7 linked regions of the Macaca mulatta genome follow. The protein of the gene in region 1 purifies or fractionates together with the protein of each later gene. This does not show direct contact. Links are inferred from orthologs where the notes say so. Each region holds a gene or a part of one and is shown in the gene's direction. Other genes may lie near its edges.

Evidence for each region.
Region 2: the proteins of SHC1 (region 1) and AP2A2 purify together in Homo sapiens (affinity purification with mass spectrometry; 4 studies listed by BioGRID and IntAct, with this or other methods). This does not show direct contact. The link is inferred for Macaca mulatta from reciprocal best matches to the Homo sapiens genes SHC1 and AP2A2.
Region 3: the proteins of SHC1 (region 1) and AP2A1 purify together in Homo sapiens (affinity purification with mass spectrometry; 4 studies listed by BioGRID and IntAct, counting the BioPlex papers as one, with this or other methods). This does not show direct contact. The link is inferred for Macaca mulatta from reciprocal best matches to the Homo sapiens genes SHC1 and AP2A1.
Region 4: the proteins of SHC1 (region 1) and RET purify together in Homo sapiens (affinity purification with western blotting; 4 studies listed by BioGRID and IntAct, with this or other methods). This does not show direct contact. The link is inferred for Macaca mulatta from reciprocal best matches to the Homo sapiens genes SHC1 and RET.
Region 5: the proteins of SHC1 (region 1) and GAB2 purify together in Homo sapiens (affinity purification with western blotting; 6 studies listed by BioGRID and IntAct, with this or other methods). This does not show direct contact. The link is inferred for Macaca mulatta from reciprocal best matches to the Homo sapiens genes SHC1 and GAB2.
Region 6: the proteins of SHC1 (region 1) and ABL1 purify together in Homo sapiens (affinity purification with western blotting; 5 studies listed by BioGRID, with this or other methods). This does not show direct contact. The link is inferred for Macaca mulatta from reciprocal best matches to the Homo sapiens genes SHC1 and ABL1.
Region 7: the proteins of SHC1 (region 1) and SOS1 purify together in Homo sapiens (affinity purification with western blotting; 14 studies listed by BioGRID and IntAct, with this or other methods). This does not show direct contact. The link is inferred for Macaca mulatta from reciprocal best matches to the Homo sapiens genes SHC1 and SOS1.

What each region holds. Positions count from the first base shown.
Region 1 is NC_133406.1:112,035,939-112,039,574, forward strand, and holds part of SHC1 (SHC-transforming protein 1), read left to right. Parts: coding exon 1-118; intron 119-1,324; coding exon 1,325-1,523; intron 1,524-1,610; coding exon 1,611-1,680; intron 1,681-1,762; coding exon 1,763-1,897; intron 1,898-2,059; coding exon 2,060-2,298; coding exon of another isoform or gene 2,299-2,403; exon of another isoform or gene 2,404-2,436; intron 2,437-3,314; exon of another isoform or gene 3,315-3,636. UniProt on the Homo sapiens protein: Signaling adapter that couples activated growth factor receptors to signaling pathways. Participates in a signaling cascade initiated by activated KIT and KITLG/SCF.
Region 2 is NC_133419.1:820,942-825,537, forward strand, and holds the start of AP2A2 (AP-2 complex subunit alpha-2), read left to right. Parts: upstream 1-1,442; 5' UTR 1,443-1,630; coding exon 1,631-1,697; intron 1,698-4,596. UniProt on the Homo sapiens protein: Component of the adaptor protein complex 2 (AP-2). Adaptor protein complexes function in protein transport via transport vesicles in different membrane traffic pathways.
Region 3 is NC_133424.1:62,267,899-62,271,816, forward strand, and holds part of AP2A1 (AP-2 complex subunit alpha-1), read left to right. Parts: intron 1-251; coding exon 252-434; intron 435-1,266; coding exon 1,267-1,364; intron 1,365-1,696; coding exon 1,697-1,928; intron 1,929-2,021; coding exon 2,022-2,189; intron 2,190-2,281; coding exon 2,282-2,442; intron 2,443-2,826; coding exon of another isoform or gene 2,827-2,892; intron 2,893-3,243; coding exon 3,244-3,300; intron 3,301-3,407; coding exon 3,408-3,490; intron 3,491-3,598; coding exon 3,599-3,688; coding exon of another isoform or gene 3,689-3,777; intron 3,778-3,918.
Region 4 is NC_133414.1:55,573,461-55,577,378, forward strand, and holds part of RET (proto-oncogene tyrosine-protein kinase receptor Ret), read left to right. Parts: intron 1-416; coding exon 417-675; intron 676-1,318; coding exon 1,319-1,444; intron 1,445-2,071; coding exon 2,072-2,182; intron 2,183-2,773; coding exon 2,774-2,893; intron 2,894-3,704; coding exon 3,705-3,918. UniProt on the Homo sapiens protein: Receptor tyrosine-protein kinase involved in numerous cellular mechanisms including cell proliferation, neuronal navigation, cell migration, and cell differentiation in response to glia cell line-derived growth family factors (GDNF, NRTN, ARTN, PSPN and GDF15).
Region 5 is NC_133419.1:78,650,500-78,654,417, reverse strand, and holds part of GAB2 (GRB2-associated-binding protein 2), read left to right. Parts: intron 1-522; coding exon 523-617; intron 618-2,048; coding exon 2,049-2,313; intron 2,314-3,508; coding exon 3,509-3,599; intron 3,600-3,918. UniProt on the Homo sapiens protein: Adapter protein which acts downstream of several membrane receptors including cytokine, antigen, hormone, cell matrix and growth factor receptors to regulate multiple signaling pathways.
Region 6 is NC_133420.1:16,869,928-16,874,357, reverse strand, and holds the start of ABL1 (tyrosine-protein kinase ABL1), read left to right. Parts: upstream 1-1,508; 5' UTR 1,509-2,290; coding exon of another isoform or gene 2,291-2,389; 5' UTR 2,390-2,996; coding exon 2,997-3,132; exon of another isoform or gene 3,133-4,430. Other genes in the region: uncharacterized protein LOC144335005, read left to right, coding at 2,291-2,389. UniProt on the Homo sapiens protein: Non-receptor tyrosine-protein kinase that plays a role in many key processes linked to cell growth and survival such as cytoskeleton remodeling in response to extracellular stimuli, cell motility and adhesion, receptor endocytosis, autophagy, DNA damage response and apoptosis.
Region 7 is NC_133418.1:85,814,785-85,819,177, forward strand, and holds the start of SOS1 (son of sevenless homolog 1), read left to right. Parts: upstream 1-1,328; 5' UTR 1,329-1,945; coding exon 1,946-2,032; intron 2,033-2,167; exon of another isoform or gene 2,168-2,286; intron 2,287-4,393.

The sequences.
Region 1 (3,636 bases):
TTCTGGAGTGTCCCGAAGGGCTTGCCCAGGATGTCATCAGCACCATTGGCCAGGCCTTTGAGTTGCGCTTCAAACAATACCTCAGGAACCCACCCAAACTGGTCACCCCTCATGACAGGTGAGCAAGTGGGGAGAGTGTGGAGCAGCTTTTGAGACCAAGATTGGGAAAGGAGGGCTGTTCTTCCCACACTTGAGCTGAGAGGTTCAGGGAGGGAATAACCTGTGTGCCTCTGCTTCCCACTTCCTGCTATTCTTCTGTTTCCTGTGGCCCAGGAGGAAAGGCTTTTGAGGCCCTGCTTGCCGCAGGGCCAGCTTTTCTTGTTTGCTCATGGTGGAGCTGTAGTCCAGGGCCTCCAAGTTACATCTCTCTCTGGCTAGGTGGGATTTTCTATTCCCATTCCTCTTTCTTGCTCATTTCTCTGCTTGGCATTCTGTGTTTTCCTGCCTCTAGAAGCCATCAAGACTTTGGGTTTGGGAGGATATCTCTTTTCCCTGAGATTACAATCTTTCCCACCTCAGGCCTTGAGGGATAAGCAGTGGAGCCAGTAGGGATTGGAGGTAAAATCTGGAGCTGGAGCGCCTCCCTGCTGACGCTGACACACACAGACAGACAGACAGACACACACACACACACACACACACACACACACCCCACCCCCCCCCCCCATAGTGCTTCTGGAGCTGGAGCGCCTCCCACAGAGATCAAGAGCAAAAGCATTACTTACTTATTTTGAGACAGAGCCTTGCTCTGTAGCCCAGGCTGGAGTTCAGTGGTGCAATCACAGCTCAATGTAGCCTTCATACCCTGGGCTTGAGTGATCCTCCCACCTTAGCCTCCTGAGTAGATGGGACCACAGGTGCATGCCACCACACGTGGCTGAGTAGTAGTATTTTTATTTTGGTAGAGATAAGGTCTTGCTATGTTGCCCTGGCTGGTCTTGAACTCCTAGGCTCAAACAGCCCTCCCTCCTTGGCCTCTAAAAGTGTTGGGATTATAGGCGTGAGCCATTGCACCTGGCCAAGGGGGACGAGCTTTAAAGTCAAACCTGAATTTAAATCTGAGCTTAGCCGCCTTTTAGTTGTGAGACCTTGGGCAAATCTTTTCACCTCTGACCCTCATTTTCCTCATATGTAAAATTGGGGAAGGAAACAATACCTACCTTATGGGGTTGCCAGGAGAATGAAATGATTATGTATATAAAACACTCAGCCTCAGGCCTAATCCACAGTAAATACCCAATAGATGGCTGCTGTTCTATTCCCTCCTCCCCTCCTCCTGCCCACCACACATTTACAGCTACACCTTCACTGTCCTGTCCCTCAGGATGGCTGGCTTTGATGGCTCAGCGTGGGATGAGGAGGAGGAAGAGCCACCTGACCATCAGTACTATAATGACTTCCCGGGGAAGGAACCCCCCCTGGGGGGGGTGGTAGACATGAGGCTTCGGGAAGGAGCTGCTCCAGGGGCTGCTCGATCCACTGCACCCAGTGCCCAGACCCCTAGCCACTTGGGAGCTACACTGGTAAGTTGCTTGGATGGAGGTGGGCTGGGCCTAGGGTGGGAGTGGTTGTTTAGGGCTTCTGGTCTCACCTTATTTTTATCCCTGCAGCCTGTAGGACAGCCTGTTGGGGGAGATCCAGAAGTCCGAAAACAGATGCCACCTCCACCACCCTGTCCAGGTATGAAGGGAGCTGAGATGGACAGAGCCAGGGAGTGCTGGAGGCAGGGCTGGGGATCACTGTAGAACCTCTCTTTCCTCAGCAGGCAGAGAGCTCTTTGACGATCCCTCCTATGTCAACGTCCAGAACCTAGACAAGGTCCGGCAAGCAGTGGGTGGTGCTGGGCTCCCCAATCCTGCTGTCAATGGCAGTGCACCCCGTGACCTGTTTGATATGAGTGAGTGCTTGTCTTTCCTCTCTGCATCTCCACCTTTCTACTTGGTTCTGGCCCTTCTCCTGCCTATCTGCTCTTTCCTTCCTGACTTCCCTTCCCTGAAGTCTGGGTCTTGGGTGTGTGTTGTGCCTGCTACTTTCCCTCACCCTCTGTCTACACTTCCAGAGCCCTTTGAAGATGCTCTTCGGGTGCCTCCACCTCCCCAGTCAGTGTCCATGGCTGAGCAGCTCCGAGGGGAGCCCTGGTTCCATGGGAAGCTGAGTCGGCGGGAGGCTGAGGCACTGCTGCAGCTCAACGGGGACTTCCTGGTGCGGGAGAGCACGACCACACCTGGCCAGTATGTGCTCACTGGCTTGCAGAGTGGGCAGCCCAAGCATCTGCTACTGGTGGACCCTGAGGGTGTGGTGAGTGTGGCAGAGGTGTGGGTGAGGGGTGGCAGAAAGGAAGGTACAGTACCCTACAGTGTATCCCTGTTCCTTCCCTCATTGCTTTCTAGACATTCCCGCTAGGCAGCTCTCTGTGGGCCTCTCTTGCTCTTTAGGGTGTCTGGCATCTTCCTCCAGGGGCTCATCCCTTAGCCTGAACTGTGTTCTTTATAGTCCTGGCACTATAGGGCTGGGCGTGGTGGCCCACACCTGTAATCCCAGCACTTTGGGAAGCTGAGGCAGGTGAATCACCTGAGGTCAGGAGTTTGAGACCAGCCTGACCAATATGGTGAAACCCCATCTCTGCTAAAAATATAAAAATAAGCTGGGTGTGGTGGTGGGCACCTGTAGTCCCAACTACTCAGGAGGTTGAGGCAGGAGAATTGCTTGAACCCAGGAGGCAGAGGTTGCAATGAGCTGAGATCGCACCACTGCACTCCAGCCTGGGTGACAGAGTGAGATTGTCTAAAAAAACAAAACAAAACAAATACAGTCCTGGCCCGTCCTCAAATCCCCAAGCCTTATCAGAGCTAGAAGGCAGTCATCTCATCTGTGCCCATTTTTTTTTTTTTTTTTTGAGACGGAGTCTCGCTCTGTCGCCCAGGCTGGAGTGCAGTGGCCGGATCTCAGCTCACTGCAAGCTCCGCCTCCCGGGTTCACGCCATTCTCCTGCCTCAGCCTCCCGAGTAGCTGGGACTACAGGCGCCCACAACCACGCCCGGCTAATTTTTTTTTTTTTTTTTTTTTTTTTTTTTTTTTTTTGAGACGGAGTCTCGCTCTGTCGCCCGGGCTGGAGTGCAGTGGCGCGATCTCGGCTCACTGCAAGCTCCGCCTCCCGGGTTGACGCCATTCTCCTGCCTCAGCCTCCCGAGTAGCTGGGACTACAGGCGCCCGCCGCCTCGCCCGGCTAATTTTTTGCATTTTTAGTAGAGACAGGGTTTCACCGTGGTCTCGATCTCCTGACCTTGTGATCCGCCCGCCTCAGCCTCCCAAAGTGCTGGGATTACAGGCGTGAGCCACCGCGCCCGGCCATCTGTGCCCATTTTTACAAATAAGGAAACCACCCCGAAGAGGTTGTGAGGCCCAATGTCACATGGTTAAAGGCTAGACACTGCAAGTTTCCTTTCGTAAGAAGATCCAAGGGCTTCTCCAGCTCCTCAGACTCAGGAGTCAGACCACTGTGCTTTCTCTTATTTGCACTGCCTCACTGTTCTTCAAAACTTTCCTTGTTTAGCCAGGTGTGGTGGCTCATGCCTGTAATCGCAAGATTTTGGGAAGCTGAGGTGGGAGGATTGCTTGAGGCCAGGAGTTCTAGAC
Region 2 (4,596 bases), on another chromosome or scaffold:
TGGACGGTCCTCGTGACTCTTGGGACTGTCCCGGAGAGCAGCCCAGGACCCCTCACATGGCACAAGACGCTCTTGTGTCCAGAATGGCCTTTATTTGTCGTCAGGGATAGGGGAGGGAAGCTTGTTAGTGGAAGGGAACAGCTGAAGGATGAATGGCCCCGGGACCACTTTCTCTGCCAGGAGGTAGCACTGGGAGGGGATGGGGACCCTGGAGGGGCGTACCCTCCTCCAGGAAGGCCTCTGCCAGGTCGGCTCCGTGACTCTGTCTTGGAAAGTGATGAACTTGTGCCCCTACCTCCTAGCCGGGCTCCACCAGGGCTAAGCTCTCATCTGGGGTTGTGCAAGTGAGCCAGGGTGGGGCAAAGTCCTGGCTGGTGGGTCTGGGCCAGTTCCAGGTACAGGGTCCAGATCCCCCCACTCCCGGAGGAGGGAACTTCCTCTTCAAAGCCATCTGGCTCTGGGAAGGACAGCGAGGCAGGGCCATGTGCTTCCGCACTCCCTGGGGTCTCTTCCTGGCCTAGGCCCAGAGCTGTGCAGCCTGGCCCAGAAGGTCCTCCCTCCCGCTGCGTCCACGGGGGGTCCCTAGGCCTCCAGCTCGCAGCGGTGCAGAGGGCCGGGGAGCAGAGGGGGCCCTGGCAACAGTGGCAAAAAGTCCTGGCGCTGAGGGACTGGATTCCACAGTGAGCTGCAGCCCCGGCCGCCATCACTGGGGTGGGGTGGGCGGTTGTTTCTCTGCAGGCCCAGGTGATGTGGTGGGGGCGCCTGGACTGCCACACAGACCCTGGGTTAGGTTGGGCACGGGGCCCGCCTGGCCCCCAGCTCGGGGACCGCAAGAGATGTGGCCCTGGCCGCTCAGGGCGGCAGAAGGGGCGGCTCAGTCCCAGTCTCAGGATACTGGGCTGGGGGAGGGTTTCCTCCCCAAAGGCTGTCCCGAGGCTGTGACCCCTTCGCCCAGAGCCCCGGCTTCCTCCTGGCGCCGCCCTCCCGGCCCTGGCCCACCCCGGACAAACAAGGCCCTGGCAGCGAAGCCCCTCCACTGCCCAGCGCTCACAGGTTGTTTATTCCAAGTAGGAAAACGGAGACCTGCTCGGGGCAATCTAGGGGGGCCGACGCCCAGGGCGAGGCTGCAGCGTGCGCCTGCGTGGTCGCCTCTTTTGCAGTGACCACCAACAATGAAGACGGCGGCTGTCCTGCTCACGCAAGTTCCCGCCCGGATCCACGCCCTTCCCGTGGGGGACGCGGGCGGCAGCGCCAACCCGGCGCGGCATCGGGACGCGAACCCGCGGCTCCAGCGGCTCCGTCCGTGGCGTCCGCCTGCATGGGGCGCCCCCGCGCCTGCCTCGACCGGCTCGTCCCCGCGCCGCGGACGCGCGCGCGCTGTCTCACGCGACACCCGCCCCGGCCGCCGTCCGTCGCAGCTCGCGTGCGTGCGCGTGTGTGCTAGTGCGGGCGTCGTGCGTGCGCGCGCGCGGCGGCCCAGAAAGCGGCGCTGGGAGCCTGAGGCGGCGGTGGTTAGTCGGCTCCCCGGCGGCTTGTCCGCGGCGCTGAAGGCGACCGTGCTCCCCGCTTCCCGCTCCCAGCGCTTCTCCGCCCAGGCCCGCCAGCGGAGGCCGCTCCCGAGCGCCGGAAGATGCCAGCCGTGTCCAAGGGGGACGGGATGCGGGGCCTGGCCGTCTTCATCTCCGATATCCGCAACTGTGAGTGGCGGGGGCGGCGCGGGGCGCGGGGCGCGGGGCCGGGGCTGTGGCCGGGGCCGCAGGCGGCTACGGGGTCTGGGAGCGGAGGTCCGGGGTGGGGGCTCGAGGCGGGGGTGCAGGCTGCGATGCGGGCGGGGCCCGGGGCCTGAGGGTGCGGGCGGCGCTCGGGGTCTTGGGGTACCGGGTCTGGGAGTGCGCGCCAGGGTGCGGAGTGGGGGTCCAGAGTTTGGGGGTGCGGACTGCGCTCAGGGTCTTGGGGTATCGGGTCTGGAGGTGCGGGCCAGGATGCAGAGCGGGGCCCTGGGTCTGGGGTGCGGGGTAGGGGGTCCAGGGTTTAGGGGTGCAGGGTCTGGGGGTTTAGGGTACGGTCCTTCATTCACATCTTCACTCCCGTTTGCTGGTCCGCGCGGGGGGCTGCGGCACCGCCAAGGGGGTTCCGGGCCAAGACGCCCCTCCCCAGTATGATGTCACCTCGGTCTTTCTAGTACTGGAGTGTTTAACCCAGCATTTTCCAAAACGGCGTGGATTTTAGCTCTGGGAGCAGAAATCTGGAAATCGGTGTCTTCCTAGGAAACAGCTTTGTGAGCTGGGTTCTGGCGGCTTATTATCCCCTGATTAGATCTCGCCCACGACGATTGAAATGACTCATTCCCGGAGGGAATCTGGACACGAGCAGGCAGTCAGCAGTCGGGGTGTGGGATGGCCTGGCTGCCTGCTGCTCCAATCACAGACCTCGTTCTCAACCCCATGCGTGTCCCCTCGGGGTGGAAAAAATCCACACCAAACCGTGAAACAAGCCAGGAAGGCTTGGCCTGTTAGGAGGATGTGCAGGGTGGCGGGGTGGGTGCACCGGTCCACAAATTAATTTGACTTTGGTGTGCAGAAACTTCTCTTGAAACAAAGCCGATTTCCTGTCTGGTGTGTTCATTTTTTTCCTTGTTATCCAGCAAATAGTTGACTTCATGGTTTTTTGTTTTTGTTTTTTTTGAGACAGGGTCTTGCTCTGGCGCCCAGGCTGGAGCGCAGTAGTGCCATCACGGCCCACCCAGCCTCCCAGCTCAAGTGATCCTACCACCTCAGCCTCCAGAGTCGCTGGGACTACAAGCGTGCACCACCACCATTTTCGTGTTTTTTGTAGAGATGAGGGTCTCATTGTGTTGCCCAGGCTGGTCTCGAACTCCTGAGCTCAAGTGATCCACCTACCTCGGGCCTCCCAAAGTGCTGGGTTTACTGGCGTGAGCCACTGCACCCTCATAATTTTTAGTGTATATTTTGAGGAATTTTTGTGATCTTCCCTTTGAATTCTCATCTCCTTAGACTGGGTGGAGGATCAGGAGGATGGTCATTCTCCCACACTCTGTGTAAGGATAGAAGTCCATCTAACCCTTCCCCTACTCTTTTTTTTTTTTTTTTTTTTTTTGAGACAGAGTCTGGCTCTGCCGCCCAGGCTGGAGTGCAATGGCCGGATCTCAGCTCACTGCAAGCTCCGCCTCCCGGGTTCACGCCATTCTCCTGCCTCAGCCTCCCGAGTAGCTGGAACTACAGGCGCCCGCCACCTCGCCCGGCTAATGTTTTGTATTTTTAGTAGAGACGGGGTTTCACCGTGTTAGCCAGGATGGTCTCGATCTCCTGACCTCGTGATCCACCTGTCTCGGCCTCCCAAAGTGCTGGGATTACAGGCTTGAGCCACCGCGCCCGGCCAGCATAGAGCTGGGTGCAGTGGCTCACACCTGTAGTCCCAGCACTTTGGGAGACCAAGGCAGGTGGATCTTTTGAGCCCAGAAGTTTGAGACCAGCCTGGGCAATGTGGTGAGACCCTGTCTCTACAAAAACCATGAAAATTAGCCGGGCGTGTTGGTGTACACACCTATAGTCCCAGCTACTTGGGAGGCTGAGACAAGATCACTTGAGCTCAGGAGGTCAAGGCTGCAGTGAGCTGAGATCGTGCCACCGTACTCCAGCCTGGGTGACAGAGTGAGACCTTTGTCAAAAAAAAAAAAAAAAAAAAAGGCTTAGAAACACAGCCTCAGATCAGTACTTTTACGAGTAGCATTTTTTCTCTTGCTTTGTCACGTAATGAGACTAACATGCATTTTGTAAAACTAAGTGTGTGTATTATTTGTTAAGGGGACTCCTCGGGACAAAGGCTGAGCACTGTTAAGTTAGCTGCGATGTCTGTCCTTTCATTTTTGAGGAAAATTGTGTTAGGCAGGACGATGAGATTGGAAGGCATTTCCTTAGACAACAAGTCACCCGCTTGTTAGATATATTGTCTGTGCGAGGGCCTGCGTTTGACAGGATGGCGCCTACCACAGGGAGCGCAGTACAGCCGTCCTCCCTTATTTGTGGTTTCACCTTCTGAGGTTTTAGTTACCTCTGGTCACCTGTGATCTGAAAATAGGTGAGCACAGTACAATAAGATATTTAAAGACACCACATTCATGTAACTTTTATTACAGGATATGATTACAGTTCTCTTTTATTATTGGCTGCTGCTAATCTCTTATTGTGCCTAATCTGTAAGTTAAACTTTTTCCTAGGTATGTGTGGGAAAAAAGCAGCTTGTATAGGATTTAGTGTTATATGAAGTTTCAGGCACCCACTGAGGGCCTTGGAACGTATTCCTGTGGATATGGGGAAACTGCTGTACTCTATAAATACTTGACTGTGTAGACCAGACTTTCTTCAACTCGGCAGAGCTGACATTTGGGGCTGGATCACCCTTTGTTGTGGGGGACTGTTGAGTACCTTGTAGGATGTTTATAGCAGCACCACATGCCTCCGTTGTGATAAGACAGATGTCCTCTTAGGGCTAAGTTGTCCTCCGTGGAGAACCACTCATGTATCCCGATGAATGAGACAGCCCCTCCCCTGAAGGAGCTAGCAGAAGGAGGGGTGC
Region 3 (3,918 bases), on another chromosome or scaffold:
GACTTGTGGGTCTGAGGGAGGGGGTGACTGGGGGCTTGGACTCTTGGGTCCGAGGGAAGAGGGGCTGGAGCCTGGATACCTGGATCTGAGGGATAGGTGGCTGGTGGCCTGGATTCCTGGGTCTGAGGGAGGAGGGGCTGGGACCTGGACTCCTGGGTCTCCAGATGGGGGCAGTGGTGAGCCCAGAGCCAGGTGAGTGAAAGCCCGACTCAGCCTGCGGGCACTCTGTCTCTCACACGCTCCGGCGGCAGGTCCTGAAGGTGGCCATCCTGGCTGAGAAGTACGCCGTGGACTACAGCTGGTATGTGGACACCATCCTCAACCTCATCCGCATCGCGGGCGACTACGTGAGTGAAGAGGTGTGGTACCGTGTGCTACAGATCGTCACCAACCGTGATGACGTCCAGGGCTACGCCGCCAAGACGGTCTTTGAGGTCAGCATTCCTGACCCTGACCCCCATGACCCCACGACAGGACCTAGAGGCAGAGCAAGGACGGCCGGGGCTGTGGGGCCTGCCAGCCCCTGGCCATCCTCCTCCTGCACTGCTGTGACCTCAAAGTGGGGCTTCTGCCTCTCTGGGCCAACCCAGGGCACCCAGGGCTCTGGGTCCCTCCTACCCTCCTGATGTGAGGAGTCCCCAGGGCATGGGCATGGGGAGCCCGGTGTGCAGTCCTGGCCCCAGATCTCGGTAGTTTCCATTTCCCTCTGCCCCAGGAAAGGGGACCTGCACAGCCCTGTTTTTTTTGTTTTTTGGTTTTTTTTTGGTGTGTTTGTTTTTTGGAGACGGAGTCTCACTCTGTCACCCAGGCTGGATTGGGGAGTGAGTGCCTTGGCGTGATCTTGGCTCGCTGCGACCTCCGCCTCCCAGCGTCAAACCATTCTCCTGCCTCAGCCTCCCCAGTAGCTGGTACTACAGGCGCATGCCACCACACCCAGCTAATTTGTTTGTATTTTTAATAGAGATGGGGTTTCACCATGTTGCCCAGGCTGGTTTCAAACTCCTGAGCTTGGGCAATCTGCCCTCCTCGGCCTCCCAAAATGCTAGGGCTACAGGCATGAGCCACCACGCCTGGCTCACAGCCCTGTTTTACGGCCTGTGTGAGCTTGGGCCGGTCACTCAACCTTTTTGTGCCTCAGTTTACCACTTATAACCCCACCCGCAGCAGAGCTTTGAGGGTTCCACCAGTCAGGAGGTGGTTGCACCCAGTGCTCCCAGAGAGAGTGCTCATTCTTGTCCTCTCCACGCCCTTCCCCGCCCCCCCCAGGCGCTCCAGGCCCCTGCCTGTCATGAGAACATGGTGAAGGTTGGCGGCTACATCCTTGGGGAGTTTGGGAACCTGATTGCTGGGGACCCCCGCTCCAGGTGAGGGAGCCTCAGCCTGCGGGGGGAACACTACACACTTCTGACGGATCCAGGGCTTGAGGGATCCCCAGGGGTCTCAGGGTAGGCGGTGATGGGCTCCCATCCTCTCGGCCTCCACCCCAACCCACCTAGCAGGGTAAGAGAGGACCTCAGTCCCAGGATCATGGACAGAGTGTGACTGTGGCCCCTGCCTGGTGCCTGGGGAGGGCCACTCCCCTCCAGCGGCCTGGGGTCCTGGGACAGGTCCATCCCAGGGAGGGGTGCCTCTCGAGGGGGTTTCTGGGAGAGGGCAGTGGAGCCTGGTCCCCGCTGACACCCACTCCCGCGCACAGCCCCCCGGTGCAGTTCTCCCTGCTCCACTCCAAGTTCCACCTGTGCAGCGTGGCGACGCGGGCGCTGCTGCTGTCCACCTACATCAAGTTCATCAACCTCTTCCCCGAGACCAAGGCCACCATCCAGGCCGTGCTGCGGGCCGGCTCCCAGCTGCGCAATGCTGACGTGGAGCTGCAGCAGCGAGCCGTGGAGTACCTCACCCTCAGCTCGGTGGCCAGCACCGACGTCCTGGTCAGAGCCTTGCCCCTCCCCACCCTGGCATACCCCCTTCCCGCTCTCCCCTCCTCCTGACCCGAACTGACCTTCCCCACCCGACTGCGCCAGGCTACGGTGCTGGAGGAGATGCCGCCCTTCCCCGAGCGCGAGTCGTCCATCCTGGCCAAGCTGAAACGCAAGAAGGGGCCAGGGGCTGGCAGTGCCCTGGATGATGGCCGGAGGGACCCAAGCAGCAACGACATCAATGGGGGCGTAGAGCCCACCCCCAGCACTGTGGTGAGTCCCCTGGGGTGGGCCCTGCCAGGGTGCCTGGGGCTGGGTCCTGCCAGGGTGCCATCTGTCCTCACCATGACCTGCGCTTCCTACAGTCGACGCCCTCGCCCTCCGCCGACCTCCTGGGGCTGCGGGCAGCCCCTCCCCCGGCAGCACCCCCGGCTTCTGCAGGGGCAGGGAACCTCCTGGTGGACGTCTTCGATGGCCCGGCCGCCCAGCCCAGCCTGGGGCCCACCCCCGAGGAGGCCTTCCTCAGGTAGCACCCCCTGGGCCCGGGCCCCTTCTCACAGCCACCCCCAGGGCTGTCCCTTCTCGGCCTCTGCCCGCATTTTCCCTGAGCCCCTCCCCAGCCCCCTACTCGCTCCTCTCTCCATCCCGATGCCTTCACCAGCCCTGGCTGCTGCCTCCCCTGCCCCAGCCTCCCTGCTCACAGCCTCCCTCTCCCACTCTGGACTCCACCGACACTGGCCACCCTTCGTTGTCTCCTTTCCTGTCACCGTTTCTCAGCCTGCTCTTCCTTTTCTCCTTCTCTCCTTCCCTTCTCCCTCTCTGTCTCTCTCTCTCCGGCCCTCTTGCTGCCTGTCTGGGATTGGCTGCCACGCCTGTCTTCTCTTGTCTGCTCTGGGATTGGATGGCCCAGCGAGCTGGAGCCGCCTGCCCCCGAGAGCCCCATGGCTTTGCTGGCTGACCCAGCTCCAGCTGCTGAGTAAGGGGTGGCCTGGGGTGGGAGGTCGCGGGGGGGCAGACTCCGGTGTCCCCAGGGAGAGTTAGGGGACTGAGAGCTCTTGTCAACGGGTTCCTGATGAGCAGCAGAGGCAGGGACTTTGAGGAAAGGGAAACTTGGTGCCTGCCGATGCGGGGGCACGGGCCAGGGTTCCATTCCCGTTAGAGGCCACTGCTGAACGGATGTGAAGTTCCTCGAAGCTCTGTGAGGGGTCTGGATATGTGGTTCTGGGGTTCTGTCCTTAGGGTTTGTTCTCACACTCAATTGCTCTGGGTCTTCGCCCCTCCCCACCAAGTCCCTTCCCATCTCACTCCACTCACTCACTGCCTCCAGCCCAGGTCCTGAAGACATTGGCCCTCCCATTCCGGAAGCCGATGAATTGCTGAATAAGTGAGTCCTGGGAGAGGTGGGGGAGGGGAATGGGGACAGGTGCAGAGCCTAGGTCAGGTGCAGGCAGGCATCCCCGTCATCCTGCGCCCCCTGCCACTCCCACCCAGGTTTGTGTGTAAGAACAACGGGGTTCTGTTCGAGAACCAGCTGCTGCAGATCGGAGTCAAGTCAGAGTTCCGGCAGAATCTAGGTGTGTCCCAGGGGACTGTGGGAATGGGTGGGAGGGAGACCTTGGGTTGGGCCTGGGGAAGGGGTCAGAGGGACTCAGATGGAGCTCTGCCTCCCCCACCTACTGCAGGCCGCATGTATCTCTTCTATGGCAACAAGACCTCGGTACAGTTCCAGAATTTCTCACCCACTGTGGTCCACCCCGGAGACCTCCAGACTCATATCCTCTCAGGCCCGGCCCAGCCTCCTGCCTCCAGGCCTGCCTCTCCAGGTTGGCCTTCCTCATCGTGGGGAAGCTGGCTGACCCAGGTCCACACTTCTCTTTAGCCCCTCTTGGGCACGCAGTTACTTCTCTGAGATTCAGTGTCTGCATCTGTAAGATGGGGGTGGGGTTCCTTCCCCCAGGACAGGAGATGACAGTGAAGTGGTGTGTGGGAGGCATTACTTCCG
Region 4 (3,918 bases), on another chromosome or scaffold:
AAGGGGTCCCCAGAGCACTGCTGGGGCAGCTGGGGAGGAGCGTGGGAGACATTCTGGTGGCCTTGGTGTCTGAGTGAGGGAGAAAAGGGGAGTAAAGGGTTAAGTCAGGGCCTGCCTGGGGCTTTTCCTGCCACCAAACTGAACCTCGAGGCCCTGGGTTGCTTTGACCTCCGGCTCCCAGGAACAGAGGCAGCTGGTGACATGTGGCCTGAGTGGAGCTGGGCAGGGCAGGGCCGGGGCAGGTGGGTGGGTCTGCAGGCTCTGAGGGGATGGAGGACAGGGCGCTCAGCGGGGCTGCTGTCTCCAGGTTCAGTTGGGGGCTGTTCCAGAACTCAGGCTGTGTGGGAACCTCTACCCTCAGGCCACTGCAGGCCGGTCCAGCGGCCTGGTTAAGGTGTTCCCCTGTGCCCCCCTAGATCGGGAAAGTCTGTGTGGAAAACTGCCAGGCGTTCAGTGGCATCAATGTCCAGTATGAGCTGCATTCCTCCGGCGCCAACTGCAGCACACTAGGGGTGGTCACCTCGGCCGAGGACACCTCGGGGATCCTGTTTGTGAACGACACCAAGGCCCTGCGACGGCCCAAGTGTGCTGAGCTTCACTACATGGTGGTGGCCACCAACCATCAGACCTCCAGGCAGGCCCAGGCCCAGCTGCTTGTCACGGTGGAGGGGTTGTGTGAGTGCCTGCTCCAGGAAGGAATGGGTTGGGGACCTGGGGGCTTCCGGAGCCTGGGCCTGCTGCCCTTTGAAAAAAACAGTACAGCTGCAAGGCTTAGCTGGGGAGTGGGGAAGGCATGGACCAGCTTTACCGTGAGTGACCCAGCAATAAATGGTTGTCCCTTCCAGATAACATACAGGACCTTGGTTAAATTTGAATTTTAGGTAAACAACAGGCAGTGTTTTGGTATAGGTGTGTTCTGTGCAACCTTTGCAGCTTCTCGAAAGACACACCTCCAGGCCCATCCATGCCCTCTTAGGAACATGCTGAGCAGCTGCCATTCATGCCATTCATTGTGTATCTGAAATGCAGGTCCCACAGGGCATCCTCAGCATCGTTGGCCGAATCTGGCTGCCCTCACATCCTTCCTCCTGTACTTACCCCAGCCCAGGTGACCCCCGCTTTGTGACCATGATGTCCTGTACCCTGCCCTGTGCTCTGTGCTCCTGGCACTGGCTTTGCTGCCCTGGGTCTGCCACTCCAGTCCCCTTGGGCTCCATCTGTGAGGCAGCTCAGCTGGTACTGTTCCCTGTCCTTGGGCACTGGCTGGGCGCTGGACCCAGGCCAGCCCCCTGTGACCCTGCTTGTCTGCCACCTGCAGATGTGGCCGAGGAGGCGGGCTGCCCCCTGTCCTGTGCAGTCAGCAAGAGACGGCCAGAGTGTGAGGAGTGTGGCGGCCTGGGCTCCCCAACGGGCAGATGTGAGTGGAGGCAAGGAGATGGCAAAGGTAGGTCCTGGAAACGCCCAAGGGATGCCTGCAGGGGCAACGGCACCGGTAGAAACGGGGTCCTGGGGCCCTGCCAGCCTGGAGTGGCTCTCCCTGCTCCAGGTCTGCTTCTGGCACCTCATCCCCCACGTGGCTCACGATGCCAGCATAGTGGGCAGCAGTGCAGGGCTGGGGAGAGGGCTTGTGAATACAGCAAATGGTCCCCAGGCTGGAGTCACTCTGGACTTGGGAAGGTCTGAACCAAAGTTGGGATGTGCTGGGGACAGAATGGCCTTTTCTGGGAAGTCCTCGTCCAGGGGATGTGGTGTGGGCAGGGGACTCATTGTCTGCATCAGCCAGAGGCCAGCCTGGGTGTGCCCACCAGCATGAGGGGCCCTCACTGTGCAGCCCTGAGAGGGTCCTGGCCTCTTTGCTGTAAGGGCCACCTGTGTGAGGAACCCCCCATACCTCCTCTCCCATAAGCTGTGGCTCCCCAGGATGCTTCCGCTGGCAAGGCTCTGTGTGTGGTGTTTCCCTGCTCAGGGCTCCATTTGCTCCTCCCTAGAGGGGCAGGATCGGCCTAGGAGGTGGTGGGGGCATGTGGCGGGGCTCCCACGTGGGTGACAGCCTGCTGTGTGTCCTGTGCAGGGATCACCAGGAACTTCTCCACCTGCTCTCCCAGCACCAAGACTTGCCCCGATGGCCACTGCGATGTCGTGGAGACCCAAGACATCAACATTTGCCCCCAGGACTGCCTCCGTAAGCAGGGTTTAATGAGGGCATGGGAACAGGTAGGAGATAGTAGGGGAAACCTGGATCCCACATGCACTTCAGCCAGAGTTGCCAGGGCTGTCAGTTTTATGCATCAAGCTGAGCCTCTTGTGCATTTCAGCGTCACCCTGGCCATGGGGAGGGAGCAGGGAGGGTCAGGGATGGGGGGAGGCAGGGACACACAGACTGTCCACGTCCCTGCTGAGGCCCCAGAAATTGGCACACACAGATTTCAGAAGCAGAGAATGGTCAATAGGGACACTGACAGGGAAAGTGTGGCCTGAGCTAGACAAGGGACCCTGCAATGTGCTGGTCAGGCCACCAGGCTCCAGTTTTGAAGGCAGAGTCCTTTGTTCAGATGAAATGTTAGGAGGGGGCCTGGCTTCACCCATGGCTTCAGAAAGGCACTGTGACCGAACCCTGCCCGGCTGAGCCAAGCTGCTGGGCGCCTGGCCTCCCTGGGCCTATGCCTGCAACACCAGTTGGGGAGGGGGGCTCCTTGGGACAGTGCCCTCGAAATATGGGGGCCTGGGGTGGTCAGACACCCCAGGGGGCTGAGTGGGCTATGTCTGCCCTCAGGGGGCAGCATTGTCGGCGGGCATGAGCCCGGGGAGCCCCGGGGGATTAAAGCTGGCTATGGTACCTGCAACTGCTTCCCTGAGGAGGAGAAGTGCTTCTGCGAGCCCGAAGACATCCAGGGTGAGTGGGTGGCAGCCACGACCACCACCACCTCCTGGGCCCATGGAGGTCTCAACAGCACATCTGAGGTCCCAACAAGGGAGGAAATTGCTGGGAGGCGAGTGGGCCCCATGAGACTTCCCTCCCTCCCTCTGGGCCTCTGTTACTCCATTGGTGCAACCCAGGAGAGGGGCCAGAGCCCCTATAAAGTGTCCTCTGGCCCTGAGTTCTATGATGAACAGGCCAGAAAAGCAGTTCTTCCACCAAACAACTTGTCAGGGTGACAGGTCACTATCCCTGTGACCATGCATCTGGGACCCACCCAGGAACACATTTCAAGGTCAACAGGTATGGTGGGTGGCACAGCCACACTGACTACACTCAGGGATGCGGTTCTGCCTGAGCACAGGGACACATTTCTGGTATTGAGTTTTCCGGTATTATATAGCCCTACATCATGAGCCACTTAACATTTTCATAAAGAAAATGCCAAAGACATTTGGAACAGAGGAAAATTTTAACCTCCCCTGCCAGCCCTCCAGTGCCAGCTGGTGTAGTGAGCATAGCCTCTGCTGTGTGACCTTGGCAGGCTGCTCAGCCTCTCTGAGCCTCTGTCACCATCTGTAAGAGGGCAATAGTAGTCTAGGAGGGGGCAGTAAATGGCAGTACCCATGCCCAATGGGGTGTTCTCAGGCCTTCCCACACCTTCATGGCCACTTCCCCGCTGGTGCGGACACGGTTGGCTGGAGAGCCATGCGGTGGAGCATGCGCAGCCTGTACCCAGTGGTGCCGAGCCTCTGGGCCTGGAGCCTCACACCGCCCCCACCCACAGATCCACTGTGCGACGAGCTGTGCCGCACGGTGATTGCAGCCGCCGTCCTCTTCTCCTTCATCGTTTCGGTGCTGCTGTCTGCCTTCTGCATCCACCGCTACCACAAGTTTGCCCACAAGCCACCCATCCCCTCAGCTGAGATGACCTTTCGGAGGCCCGCCCAGGCCTTCCCGGTCAGCTACTCCTCTTCCGGCGCCCGCCGGCCCTCGCTCGA
Region 5 (3,918 bases), on another chromosome or scaffold:
AGAGATGAGACTCAGACCCTAGAGTCCCAGCTCCTGGTTTAGACTTCTTTGCCGCCTTTCAATCCATCAACAACTTGAGCAGTCGTACTGTGCTTTGGAACTGAGATGATAAAGACATACATAAAACATGTTCCTGCCCTTCAGAGCTTACATCTCATTGGGAAAATAAAACCAACACATATAAATCAGGACAAGTATTGTTACTGTGGTATTCAGAGAAGTGATGGCTGGGGTGAGTGGGACAGGTGAGTGCTATAGGAGTCAAAGGAGAGGTGCATAGATGAGGGTAGAGTAGTCAAGGATGGCTTCTCTGCAGATGCTAACATTGGAGCTACATCTAGAAGCCCAGGAGGATTTTTGAACTGAGGAGTGATGTGTTCGAAGAAATTCCTTATCATTTGGGGTTGAGAGTGGTATCTTCTGGAGTATCAGTAAGACCTTGAACCACACTGGTGAGGGTATGGGGAAGTGTCAACACATGAATCAACCATGAGTACATACGGATCCTCCTTCCTCTGTCAGCTTCTTCCTGTGAGACCTACGAGTACCCACAGCGTGGTGGAGAGAGTGCAGGCCGGTCTGCTGAATCCATGAGTGATGGAGTCGGCTCTTTACTGGTGAGTGTGGGTTAACCAGGGGTCCTCAGGCAGGCCTGGTTAGGTAAAAGGCCACACCTTATGGAACTAAAAGCACAACCCCAAAAAAGTGATGGCATCTCCATCTTAAGACCCTGCCCAAGTTCTTGTCTCAGTTCAGAACCCTGCGTTGAGTCTTTGGACAAGTAAGATACAAGTATTCTAGTCCGGAAGAAATGTATGTGCTAAGGTAGACTGGATTACAAGGTTCACCAACCTTATAGGTAAGCAGAGGGTCTAGAATGCAATAGACCCAGGCTGCACGGTGGGGGATCTTCTAAGGCAACAACCTTACCCACATGGCCTCACATATAGGAGGGAGGCTGCAGTGTGAGACTCCAGGCAAGGGTAGTACTCACAGTCATGCTAAGTGGCAGAATTATGGCTTGAGAGCAGGATCCCAGGCTGCCCTCTGGAAGATGCTAACACAGTTCTCCAACGTGTCAGGCAAGAAAACCAAGGCCTGGCTTCAGGCCCACTGGAAAGACAGTGAAATCAGGTAACCAAGGCAGAAGCAGCTTAGTTGTATGTCAGGGCACGTAGAACAAGAGTTAGAAGAAGGCTATAGCTTAGGGTGCTGTATTGCACAACTCTGTAGAAGCTCCAACTGCAGCTTGGTGGTCCCCTAGGTGCCTGGAGTGAGCCCCAGGTACTTAGGAACCTGGACTGGGGAAACACAACTGGCCCCAGACCTCACCTTTCAGAGCCAGGACTCCTAATATGCTCCTTGTTCTGATCCAGGGCCCGAGATGCTGACCTGCCAATGGTGAGTCTGGACTTGAGGTGGAGGGCAGGTCCTGAACCAAACCTACAGTCTATGGACTATGCTACCCACGGTGTTGGTCAGGCATCCAGAAAGCCAAGTGGACCCAGTCACCAAGAATATTTTATACTCTAGATTTATCAAAAATTATTGGTGGATGCCAAAGGATCATGAAGGCTTGAAGGGGCCCACAGACCTCATATATTCTTGTCTCCCACTCTGCTTCCTTTTATTTTTTATTTTTTGAAACAGAATCTCGCTCTGTCACCCAGGCTGGAGTGCAGTGGTGTGATCTTGGCTCACTACAACCTCAGCCTCCCAGCTTCAAGCGATTCTCGTGTCTCAGCCTCCTGAGTGGCTGGGATTACAAGCATATGTCACCACGCCCAGCTAATGCTTTGTATTTTTAGTAGAGAGGAAGTTTCGCCTTGTTGGCCAAGCTGGTTTCGAACTCCTCACCTCAAGTGATCCAACTGCCTTAACCTCCCACTACTCTGCTTTCTTATTTGGTCTCCCCAGGGTCTCCCTTACAGCTTCAAAGTGTAGCTAACCCAGTCATGACTTGTCTTGCCTAGTTTACAAAGTCTTACCTACTTCCTGTTTCTTCTTGCTAGTAACAGCTGTATTTCTTTCACTGTTCCTCTCCCTAGCCAGGGAAAATGACTGTGGGCCGATCAGACAGCACCAATTCTGAAGACAACTATGTGCCCATGAACCCAGGTTCTTCCACCCTGTTGGCCATGGAACGAGCAGGTGATAATTCCCAGAGCGTCTACATCCCAATGAGCCCAGGGGCCCATCACTTTGACTCACTTGGCTACCCATCAACAACCCTTCCTATGCACCGAGGCCCCAGCAGAGGAAGTGAGATCCAGCCACCCCCTGTCAACCGCAACCTCAAACCTGATCGGAAAGGTAAGTCCATTCTTTCCCCTGTCCCATCTCTGGACAATAGCTAGGGACTCTTTCCATTTGCTTAGGGGTCATGTGGATCCTTGGGATGTGTGACTTTGGGCAAATCATGTAAATTCTGAGTCTCAGTTTTCTTATCTGTGAAATGAAGATGGTAATTCCTACCTTCCAGGTTTGCTGTGAAGGAGAGCATCTAGGATAGTACTTTGGTACACAGCAGGCATTCAGTAAAGTCAGGTTTGTGCTCCCTGCATGTAGACCAGGCAAGTTACCAGTCTGCTGTGATCTCAAACTCTCCTGATCTTGGATTAGTGGCAAGGATTCAAAGGGAGGAGTAGGATAGCTGGGCAGAGATAGCCCCCTGTGGGTCTGACCAACAGGGAATTCAAATCTTAGCATGTGAAACTGAAGCCCTCAGGCCCTTGTGGCATCTACCTTCCTCCACTGTGGCTTGCACAGACCTGGCCAGGAGCAGCAGAGAGTAGTCACAGTGACCATCTCCACTTCAAATATGGTCTCTTGGCTGGGTGCCATGGCTCATGCCTGTAACCCCAACACTTTGGGAGGCTGAGGCGAGTGGATCACCTGAGGTCAGGAGTTTGAGACCAGCCTGGCCAAAACAGTGAAACTCCGTCTCTACTAAAAATGCAAAAATTAGCCAAGCGTGGTGGCAGGCTCCTGTAGTCCCAGCTACTAGGGAGGCTGAGGCAGGAGGATCAGTTGAACCCAGGAGGCAGAGGTTGCAGTGAGCTGAGATTGCACCACTGCACTGCAGCCTGAGCAACACAGCGAGACCCTGTCTCAAAGAAAATATATGTAAATATATATGTATATATAAATATATATTAATATCTGTATTATATATAAATATATCTTTATATATAGTCTCTTATTTTTAAATGAAGTCATAAATCGAGGGAGAAGAATCTGTTGTCAAACCCTGTGTCCTCATTTTTGATTCTGAAAATATAATTACCGTAGATACAGCAGAAAGAATATTTAATTTGGAGTCTGAAGACATGACTTCAAGGCCCATCAATATGGGCAAAGATTATATAACCTCGCTGAGCATCAGTTTCCCTGTGTGAAACTGGAATGACTTTGCAGGCCTTTATAAACATGCTCATGTGTTATATATAAGTTGTGTATGTGTAGCATTATTACTGGCTGATTACCAGACTTTCTTTTCCTGCTCCAGCAAAGCCAACACCACTTGACCTGAGAAACAACACTGTCATCGATGAACTCCCCTTCAAGTCACCTATCACCAAGTCTTGGTCTAGGGCCAGGTGAGTGCCTATGTGTGGGGGTGGGAGCTTGGAGTCAGCCCATTAGAGAAGATGAGTGAAATGGTAGCTGGCCTGTGGGCCAGGACAGCTGGATTCTGATGCTAACGCTATCATTAGCTGATCATGTCTCTTGATCTCTTGTGGCTTGGTTTCCTCAGCTATAAAAGAGAATAATTATACTTGCCCTATATCAGATCTTAATCTGATGGAGTGTGCAGCTCTAATGGCTGAGGTCTGGGTGTGTGAGGGTCAGGGCTCAGCTGTAGGCTAGAAACAGGGCAGCAGCCACGCTGCTTCCCCAGTGTTGATTCTTCCTTCC
Region 6 (4,430 bases), on another chromosome or scaffold:
TGATAAGTAGATCCCTCCTTAGAAATGGGATCTTGGGACGGGCGCAGTGGCTCACGCCTATAATCCCACCACTTTGAGAGGCCGAGGCGGGTGGATTGCTTGAGGTCAGGAGCTCGAGACCAGCCTGGACAACATGGGAAAACCCCGTCTCTACTAAAAATACAAAAATTAGGCACGTGTGATGGTGCGTGCCTGTAATCCCATCTACTTGGGAGGCTGAGGCAGGATAATCGCTTGAACCCGGGAGGTGAAAGTTGCAGTGAGCTGAAATCCTGCTACTGCACCCCAGCCTGGGTGACAAGAGCAAAACTCCATCTGAAAAAAAAAAAAAAAAAAAAAAAAGAAAGAAATGGGATTCCTGTCAGATGCATCCCTCTGGGGAGACATGGAGAGCCAATAGGAACCAAGGTGCTTTTTAGTCGCAGAACATGGATTCTATCAGGTGTGGGTTTGGCACATCTAGGTCATTGGTTCTGTAGACTTGCTAAACCCAACCATCTGGGCATTTTCTCAGCTAATATAGAGGATGTTTTCATGTGAATACGTGTTCACCTGTGAAATGTTTATAGTCTTAAAGATTCGTTCCAGGGCAAACATCTGATAGCGCCTGGCAAACCCAACAAATGGCTTTTCTGTAATGAGTAAGCCTCCTAATGCCCAAATAAATAGTTGAATTCGTTAGCAACATGTCGGATGTTTTCCCTATTTCTGTATGTTTCTTCGCTAGTTGTTTTTTTTTGTTGTTGTTGTTGTTGTTTTTTGAGACGGAGTTTTGCTCTTGTTGCCCAGGCTAGAGTGCAATGGTGTGATCTCAGCTCACCGCAACCTCTGCCTCCTGGGTTCAAGCGATTCTCCTGCCTCAACGTCCTGAGGCTGGTATTACAGGCATGCACCACCACGCCCGGCTCATTTTGTATTTTCAGTAGAGAAGGGGTTTCTCCATGTTGGTCAGGCTGGTCTCGAACTCCCGACCTCAGGTGATCCGCTCGCCTCGACCTCCCAAAGTGCTGGGATTACAGGCGTGGGCCACCGCGCCCCGTCCGCTAGTTCTAATATTTATGCTTTTTGGAGGGTGAAGGGGTTGAGAGGCACCAAAAACCTTGGCTTCTAGGAGCAAGCCACATTTTCTCCCTTAGAGACTGAAGGAAATCATCCGATTCCGGTTCCAGGAAAATCCAATCCGCAGTTTTTCCCTCGCTTTGTCCCGGTCTTACTACTCGCGCCGGGGAGACGCGGTCCAGCCGACGCTCGGCCGGCGAGAGTCCACCAGGTCCCAGGAGGGCGGGGCGAGGCCCAGCGGTCGGGGTCCGGGCCAGGAGTCTCGGTGCGGGAGGACTCGCGCGGGTGCCGTGGGACCACAACTCCCGGGACGCACCGCGTACTGCGCCGAACACGGTTGGCTGGGAGATCCAGCCCTACTGCCCCCATTGGCCAATGGGACGGGGGAAAGAGGCCCGACCCGGATTCTCGGAGGCCAATGACAATACAGAGGAGGCGGGTGCTTCCTTATCACTCACCTTGCGCTCAAAGAAGCCACATTTAAAAGGTCGTGCCGGGCCCGGCTTTCGCAGGCAGTGGGACCAGAGCCGGGACGCGCGGCGGTGTCCCGGGAAAGCGGCCCTGAGGGCATCCGGGTCCCCTTGAGGCGGGCTCCGGACGTCGTCGTGGGCGGGGCGGAAGGCGGGGCCTGGCCTCGTTGTGGAGCGGCTCGTAATCCATCATGGCGGCCGCGGGGGTCGGTGTCTGTGCCTGAGCAGCGCTGGAGCCGGAGCCGGTTCCCGGGTGCTGCGACTGAGGAGCCCTTCCGCTGTCCACGGCCCCTACCGGCGGGGGGCGGCTGGGTTCCTCGGCGGAGCTCTGGGGATGTGATTGCCTGAGGGCGGTGGTGGTGTCAGCGTCCGGGGCCGGGGGAGAGGGTGTCTCAGGCAGAGACCCCCGGGCTTGGGGCAGCTGAGGCGGCCGGGCCTCCTCTACACGGCGTCCGCCTTTCGCTGTCTGGGCCGCGAGAGTCCTTCGTCCCTTACAGCTCCACCCCGGCTTTGGGACACTGGGGGTCTGTTACCCTCAGCTTGGGACACCCCGTTTTCCGAGGCGTGGAAGAGCGTCGCCCTGGAGTAAGCCGCCCGTGCCGCGCCCCGGCAGCCTCCCTCAGCCCCGAGCCGCCCCTTGTTCCGGATCCCGGCCCCAACTTTGGCCACAGAGCCTCTCATTCAAATCCCTCCCTGCTGTCAAGGGGTCTCCCCTTCCCCAAGGTGGCTCCCGCGAGCCTCTAATGCCCTGACTTCTTCCAATGTCACCTACGGCCCCCTTAGTCTCAGGTCAGCCAAAAACTTTAATGCAAAGGAAAAGTCTGGATTGGTTCCACAGGCCTTTTAAAAAGCGGACTTAAAAGTTGCTGGCAATGCATTCCTTTTCGTCAGAGTCGAGGGCAAACTCGCTGAAATCTGGGTGACCCGTGTCCTTTTCCGGAGAGCAGAGCAGAGAAGCGAGAGCGGCCACTAGTTCGGCAGGAAATTTGTTGGAAGATGAAGAAGCTAAGATAGGAGGTTGGTGACTTCCACAGGAAAAGTTCTGGAGGAGTAGCCAAAGACGATCAGCGTTTCCTTTATATGTGGGAATTGAAATGACTAGCATTATTGACCCTTTTCAGCATCCCCTGTGAATATTTCTGCTTAGGTTTTTCTTTTTGAAAAGAAATTGTTATTCAGCCCGTTAAAAAAAAAAAAAAGTCAAGAAACTTTTGGGTAACACTGCAATTACATTACTTAAAATTGATAAACTGCGAAAATAATTGGAACTCCTGCTTGCAAGTGTCAACCTAAAAAAAGTGCTTCCTTTTGTTATGGAAGAGGTCTTTCTCTGATTGACTTCAATTGCTGACTTGTGGAGATGCAGCGAATGTGAAATCCTGCGTATATGCCATTTGCCTCTACGCTCTCTGACCGTTCTGGAAGATCGTGAACCCTCTTCTGGAAAGGGGTACCCATTATTACTTTATGGGGCAGCAGCCTGGAAAAGTTCTTGGGGACCAAAGAAGGCCAAGCTTGCCTGCCCTGCATTTTATCAAAGGAGCAGGGAAGAAGGAATCATCGAGGCATGGGGGTCCACACTGCAATGTTTTTGTGGAACATGGTGAGTGCTTTTAAAATTTCTGCTCATTATTTTCCTCATGCGTTCATCTTAGGCCTTCAAGGAACTTTGAATAATAGTACTTGCGACAGTTCCTTCCAATTCCACTTAATACATTTGTTACTTTAGTTATCTCTCAAGTTTCTGGTGAAACTTACTTTGTATAAGAAAAAGTTACTTCGTGAGTTCGGCTTTATTCAGAATCTATTTGAGTTGCTTATTTCTTGCCTGCTTCCTCTGCGAATTCACTGTTGACCTTGGACAAGCCATTTTACTGTTCCAGGGCTTCAGTTTCCTGAGGGGCTGGACTTCAGTTGTTTCTTAGGATGCATGGTTCTATGATTCTGCTCTCACCGAAGTCAAGGGCTCTTCTGACATGCATGGATTCTTTACTGCTTTGTCTACAGAGAGCTTTTATCATATTCTCAAAGTGGTTTGTTTTTCTGGTAAAGTTAAGAATCATAGATACTGGTTGATGCTAATATCCTTGACCTTTTCCATCATAAGTGGGACTTGAAAATACTCACTTTGGAGCCATGTGGGAAAAATCAAGTGGGGAGGCAGCATTCCTTATTAATTTTAGATACACAGCTTCTGTCTTACCTTCCATAGGAGTAATAATCCCTTCCTCGTTGATGAAGCTTTCATCCTCTCTTCTCCCTGTTTAGAGTGACATTTGGGCCAATAAAAGTTGTCTTTGACATTTTTATGAACATATTTGGCATTTGAGTGCTGACAGCACATTTTATGTTGTTCATGTCCAGTAATTCTGTGTGAAGTTAAAGCTAAGGGTCGGCTTACACTAATGTCTATAACCAATTAATTAGGGTTACTGTTTGTACTGTTGCAGCCTGCCATTTTTCAGATTGTGTCCTTTATATTAAAAAATCAATTGAGCCCACCTATCCTATAAGCAAACGTATCAAGTGTGCCAGTGGCTTATAGTTTGAAATTCATTCAGAAATACTTCTTAACATTGGGTGACTGCAATCAACAAAGGCTTCTGTTGGATGAACTTGCATTTGACGGTTGAAGTTTTACTTTCTTACAAGAAAATACTCACTTCATCTAAATAAATCTGGGTGCTTGGATTTTACTTTGCCTTGAAACATTAATTCTATTTTAGCTTTGTTTTTAGGCAAGCCAATATGGTCATGTGTTATGATGGCTCCCAAATTTAGGATTTAAAAAGTGAATTATTTACATTTTGACTTGTGATGATCATGCACCTTACATAGTGAAAATTGGTACAGACTTTTTGGAGAGCTTTGGCGGAACTTATCAGAATTTGAAATGTATGT
Region 7 (4,393 bases), on another chromosome or scaffold:
CACGATCTCGGCTCACTGCAACCTCTGCCTCGCGGGTTCAAGCGATTCTCCTGCCTCAGCCTCCCGAGTAGCTGGGATTACAGGCACCCACCACCATGCCTTGCTAATTTTTGTATTTTTAGTAGAGACAGGTTTTCACAATGTTGGCCAGGCTGGTCTCGAACTCCTGACCTCAGGTGATCCACTTGCCTCAGCCTCCTAAAGTGCTACAGGCATGAGCCACCTCGCCTGGCCGGCCTGTATATTTTTAAAGGAAATAACCTAAGAGTTTTTTCCAGATTTTCAAAGAGGTCCTGTAAAGATTAAGAACCACTGAACCTTTCTCGTTTGCCTGATCCTGGTTACTGTTCTCAGGAATAGGAGGACACAATGTCAGCTTTAACCCAGGCTAGTTCCTCTAAACTGCCTTATCGGTGAAATGAAAATAATAGGGTTGCTATGGGGATTAAATGAGATGATACTCAAAAAGTGATAATTAATGATAAATCATAAGGTGTCTGCCACAAAGTGCCCCTATTATAAACAAACAGTGGCCTGGAGGGACAGTTTATAAATACTGCTCCTTTAGCATTCCACTAATATTCACTGAGTGCCTGTTCTGTGTAGAGGCCCTGGTGAAAAAGATCGGCCTTCCAGTATATTATCTAGTCGAAAGAACCTCAAAAGATACAAAACACGATAGACTGAACGCCCTGAGAAGGGCGTAAGTGCAGTGCTCTAGGAGCTGTAGAAGAGGTCTCGATATCCACTGGAGGAAAGTGTTTATTGGAGTTCATATCTGGAGTGGGTTTAAAAGATGAACAGAGGGAATCTAAAACATACACACAAAATCAATACTACACGTACACATTTTATTCTTGGTTTTGTGGAAAGACCAGTTAGAAACACTGCAATCACTTCTACTACTCAGCAGATACTGAGCAGTAGGTTTCGTGACAGAGCACCTGTATCTTTTGTCCAGTCTGTTTACTATACATTGCGTGCTCTGGGCAGTCCTTATCTTCGTGTTCAGGAACAAAGTACACACACCCCTTTCCGAAACGAAGGGCCCAGGGATTCCGAGAGGGGTGGGAGCCCTCACGGCCAGACCACACAATGGGGAGCCTCTTTACCCTAGTTATCACCCACCCCTGCAGGCTCCACTTTGCCAGGGTTCGACTTCTCGGGTCCTTTCGCCCCTCCCCTGCAGCCCCCAGGAGCGCAGCAACAGCCTGGCCAGGCGCCCTCCCTCTCTCTCTCTCGAGCTTCCCTCCTCCTTCACCGGGAGCCGGAAAACCCGGAGCGAACCAGCCCAGCCCGGCGGCGCATGCTCAGTAGCGAACAGGTTCAGTTCGCTAGTAGGAAGCTCTAGCGCTACACCGGCGGCGGCGGCGGCGGCGGCTGCGGCGGCACCTCAGGGCAGCCAGATTCCCCAACAACGACCTCGGGTCCTTCCCCTTCCCCGTGAGACCCCCGCCCCAGCTCAGCCCCGCCCGGGGCTCCTGCGTTTCGGGGTACCAACTGAGCAGAGCGGGCGCCGCGGCCGGAGCGTACCTCCACACGTCCTCCCCCAGCCGCCAGCTCCGCCGCGGGGCCAGGCCGGGCCCGAGAGTGCAGCCCCGGCGGGCGGGCGGGCGGCGGCCGCGGCAGAGGGCAGCCCCGGGCGGCGCCGGCGGGCCGGGGAGGAGGCGCGGGGGGCCTGGCCCCGGGGCGGTGGTGCGGGATGCCGCCGCCTCCGGGCCGCGTTCGTTCTCCACAGTTGGTACCCGTGTCGGGTGTGTGGCCGGGCGCGGGCCTCGCCCCCCAGCCCCCTCACCAGGGCTAGCCCGGCTGCGCGGCGCCCGGAGGGGGCCGGGCCGTCCGGTGGGGCCGCGGCCCTGTTCCGTGCTGCGATCTCGCCCTCTCGCAGCTCCCCGGCCCGGCCGCCGCCGCCCCTCTCCCCGCCCAGAGGCGCCCCGGGGGCACCATGCAGGCGCAGCAGCTGCCATACGAGTTTTTCAGCGAAGAGAACGCGCCCAAGTGGCGGGGACTGCTGGTGCCTGCGCTGAAAAAGGTGAGGAGCACGCGGGACCCCGCTTCCCGGCCGCAGCACCCCAGCGCGGGCGCCGGGCTGGCGCTGGGGAAGGGCTGGGGAGGCGGGGCGCGCGCAGGGCTGTCTTTCTTCCCGGTCTCGCCGCGTCTCCAGAAGGACGGCGCACACTGAGAGGCTCGCCATACGGCTGGCTCTCAGTGTTGACATCCACCGGGTGTGTGGGAAGGCCGCAGGGAGCTGGCGGGAGTTTATCCGAATAATCCAACCCCTGAGAGGTGAATGCTTTGCCCTTTGATTCCAAGACAACAGTTGCAGGAGCCTCAGTTTTCTGCGGAGGTCAAAGCAGGCCACTTTTCCGCCTTCTCGGTCTTAGCGCGGAGCTGCTGTCAGCCTGCCGTTTTAGGTGTCCAGTACGCTCGTTTTAGTGGCTTTTCGAGAATGCCCTGGCCGTAGTGCTTGCTCAAAGGAATTGCGAGCTCGCCTGCCAGCAGTAACGTGGCCTGCTCTGTTCGCCATCAGCAATCACTCCTCATTCTCCTGGTTTCCCCCGCTCCTCCGATTAACAGGGGCCGGTGCACATGCTACCAATTTCGGGGTTTTTTTGTTTTGTTTTTGCAGCGTTAGAAACTTGGTGCTGTCATTTGGTTAAGAATTTTTAGCCTTTGTATGTTTAAGTTTGCTACGTTGTTACATACCCCCGATCTGTGCTTTTAAATGTTTTAGTATAATTAGGAAGTGTTGTTACATTTTTAAAGCTTCTAAAGCAGCAGTGTGACTACCAGACTATTTTTGTTTCCTTTTCTTCATTTACCTTTTCTGTAAAGATTGCTTTGCTCTTCTAATAGTGTTTCTAAATTCCAGTTTCTTGCTGCTTAAAGAATGTTTCATGCTAACTGCTTCTACTAAGAATGGAGATTAATGTTGTACCTTTTATGCTAAACATTAAAAGCTGTCTGATATTTCTCAAAGGCCAGTAACTTTTACTTTCCCTTTTGCCCTGTTCTCCTCCTGTCCCTCTTGCTGTCTTACAGTGGAAACTATTTGGTTTGTCAGGAGTATTTGCTCATATATTTCTGACTTAAGTTACGGACATTTTCCCCTTCAAGTGTCTGACTAGTCACAAACATCTATTTTTTTTTTTGTTTGTTTGTTTGTTTTTTTTTTTTTTTAAAGAAAACCAAAAAGATGCCATGTATCTTACATACTTTACTCCTTAGAAATCCCATCAGGCTCTCACTCCTTACTTTTGCTTTACTTGCAAGTTTGGCTTCTCAGCTTGCAATGGAATGGGTGTAGGACGTCTCTGTGATGCTAGAAGCTGGTGTCCGGATAGGGTAAGAGGAGACAGGGAAATTGTTTAAAAATCTGTAAAGGAACTCATAAAGTATTGCCAAATAGGGGCCATTTTGCTTAGAGGCAAAAACAGCTGCTTTCTTAGGGAATCACCAAGCTATCAGCTGAGAATTCTTTGAAGTAGTGGAAAGAATATTGTAGGAGTTGACAGACCTTGTTTTAATTCTGCCACACTGGTGGCCCTTGCTGGAATCTGTCCACAGAAGCATTTTGTTTGGCTGGCACAGTGTGGTTTTATTTTCAAATGTAATTAGTTGCTAATATTTGAAAATGGGAGATATTACATAAAATCTGAATTTTCTGCTTTTCTTGACGAATAGGAAGGTCTTGTCATTTAGGGTCTGTATTCAAGCGAGGCACTAAACTGCTGGAGGTGAGTAAATGGCTGCCTTCTTTAGACAGGTCGTGTATCTCCACCTTACCACAGCCCCCACTTGTCCTTTTTGCATATTTACATAAACCAGCTTTTGACTTTAAGCTAGAAATATTTTTGCAGTAGAAGTGATAAGAGGAGGTGGAAGTGTACATAATCTAGCTGATATGTAAGGTTCTTCCAATTCTTATTTAAATATCCACTAACAATGATTCTAAACAAGGTTGAAAATACAGTATATTTCATATCTGGATACGTTGTTGGTAGCTCAAAACCTACGTTTTTACCTGCCTGCTGGATATTTCATGTGGATATCTCCATATCTTGATTTCTTCCTTTGATTTATTATTGAATTATTTGTAGATGCATCCAACTCGTGTTCTCTTACTCTTACCTGAGGCTCTTTGGATATTCTAGTCCCTTCATCCTTCTTTGCCTGGTCCAACACTACTCATCCTTCTAGACTCACTCAACCTGAACTCTCAAATCATCAGGGCTGAATTGGATATTACTCTTTTGTTTTCTTTTTGCACCCTATTCTAGCTCTGTGAATTTTAAGTTCCTATTTACTTGCCTGTAGCTAGATCGGATGCTCCTTGAGAACAGGCTTGATATCTTACCCTCATTTTATTCCCCATACATACAGTGCTTGACAT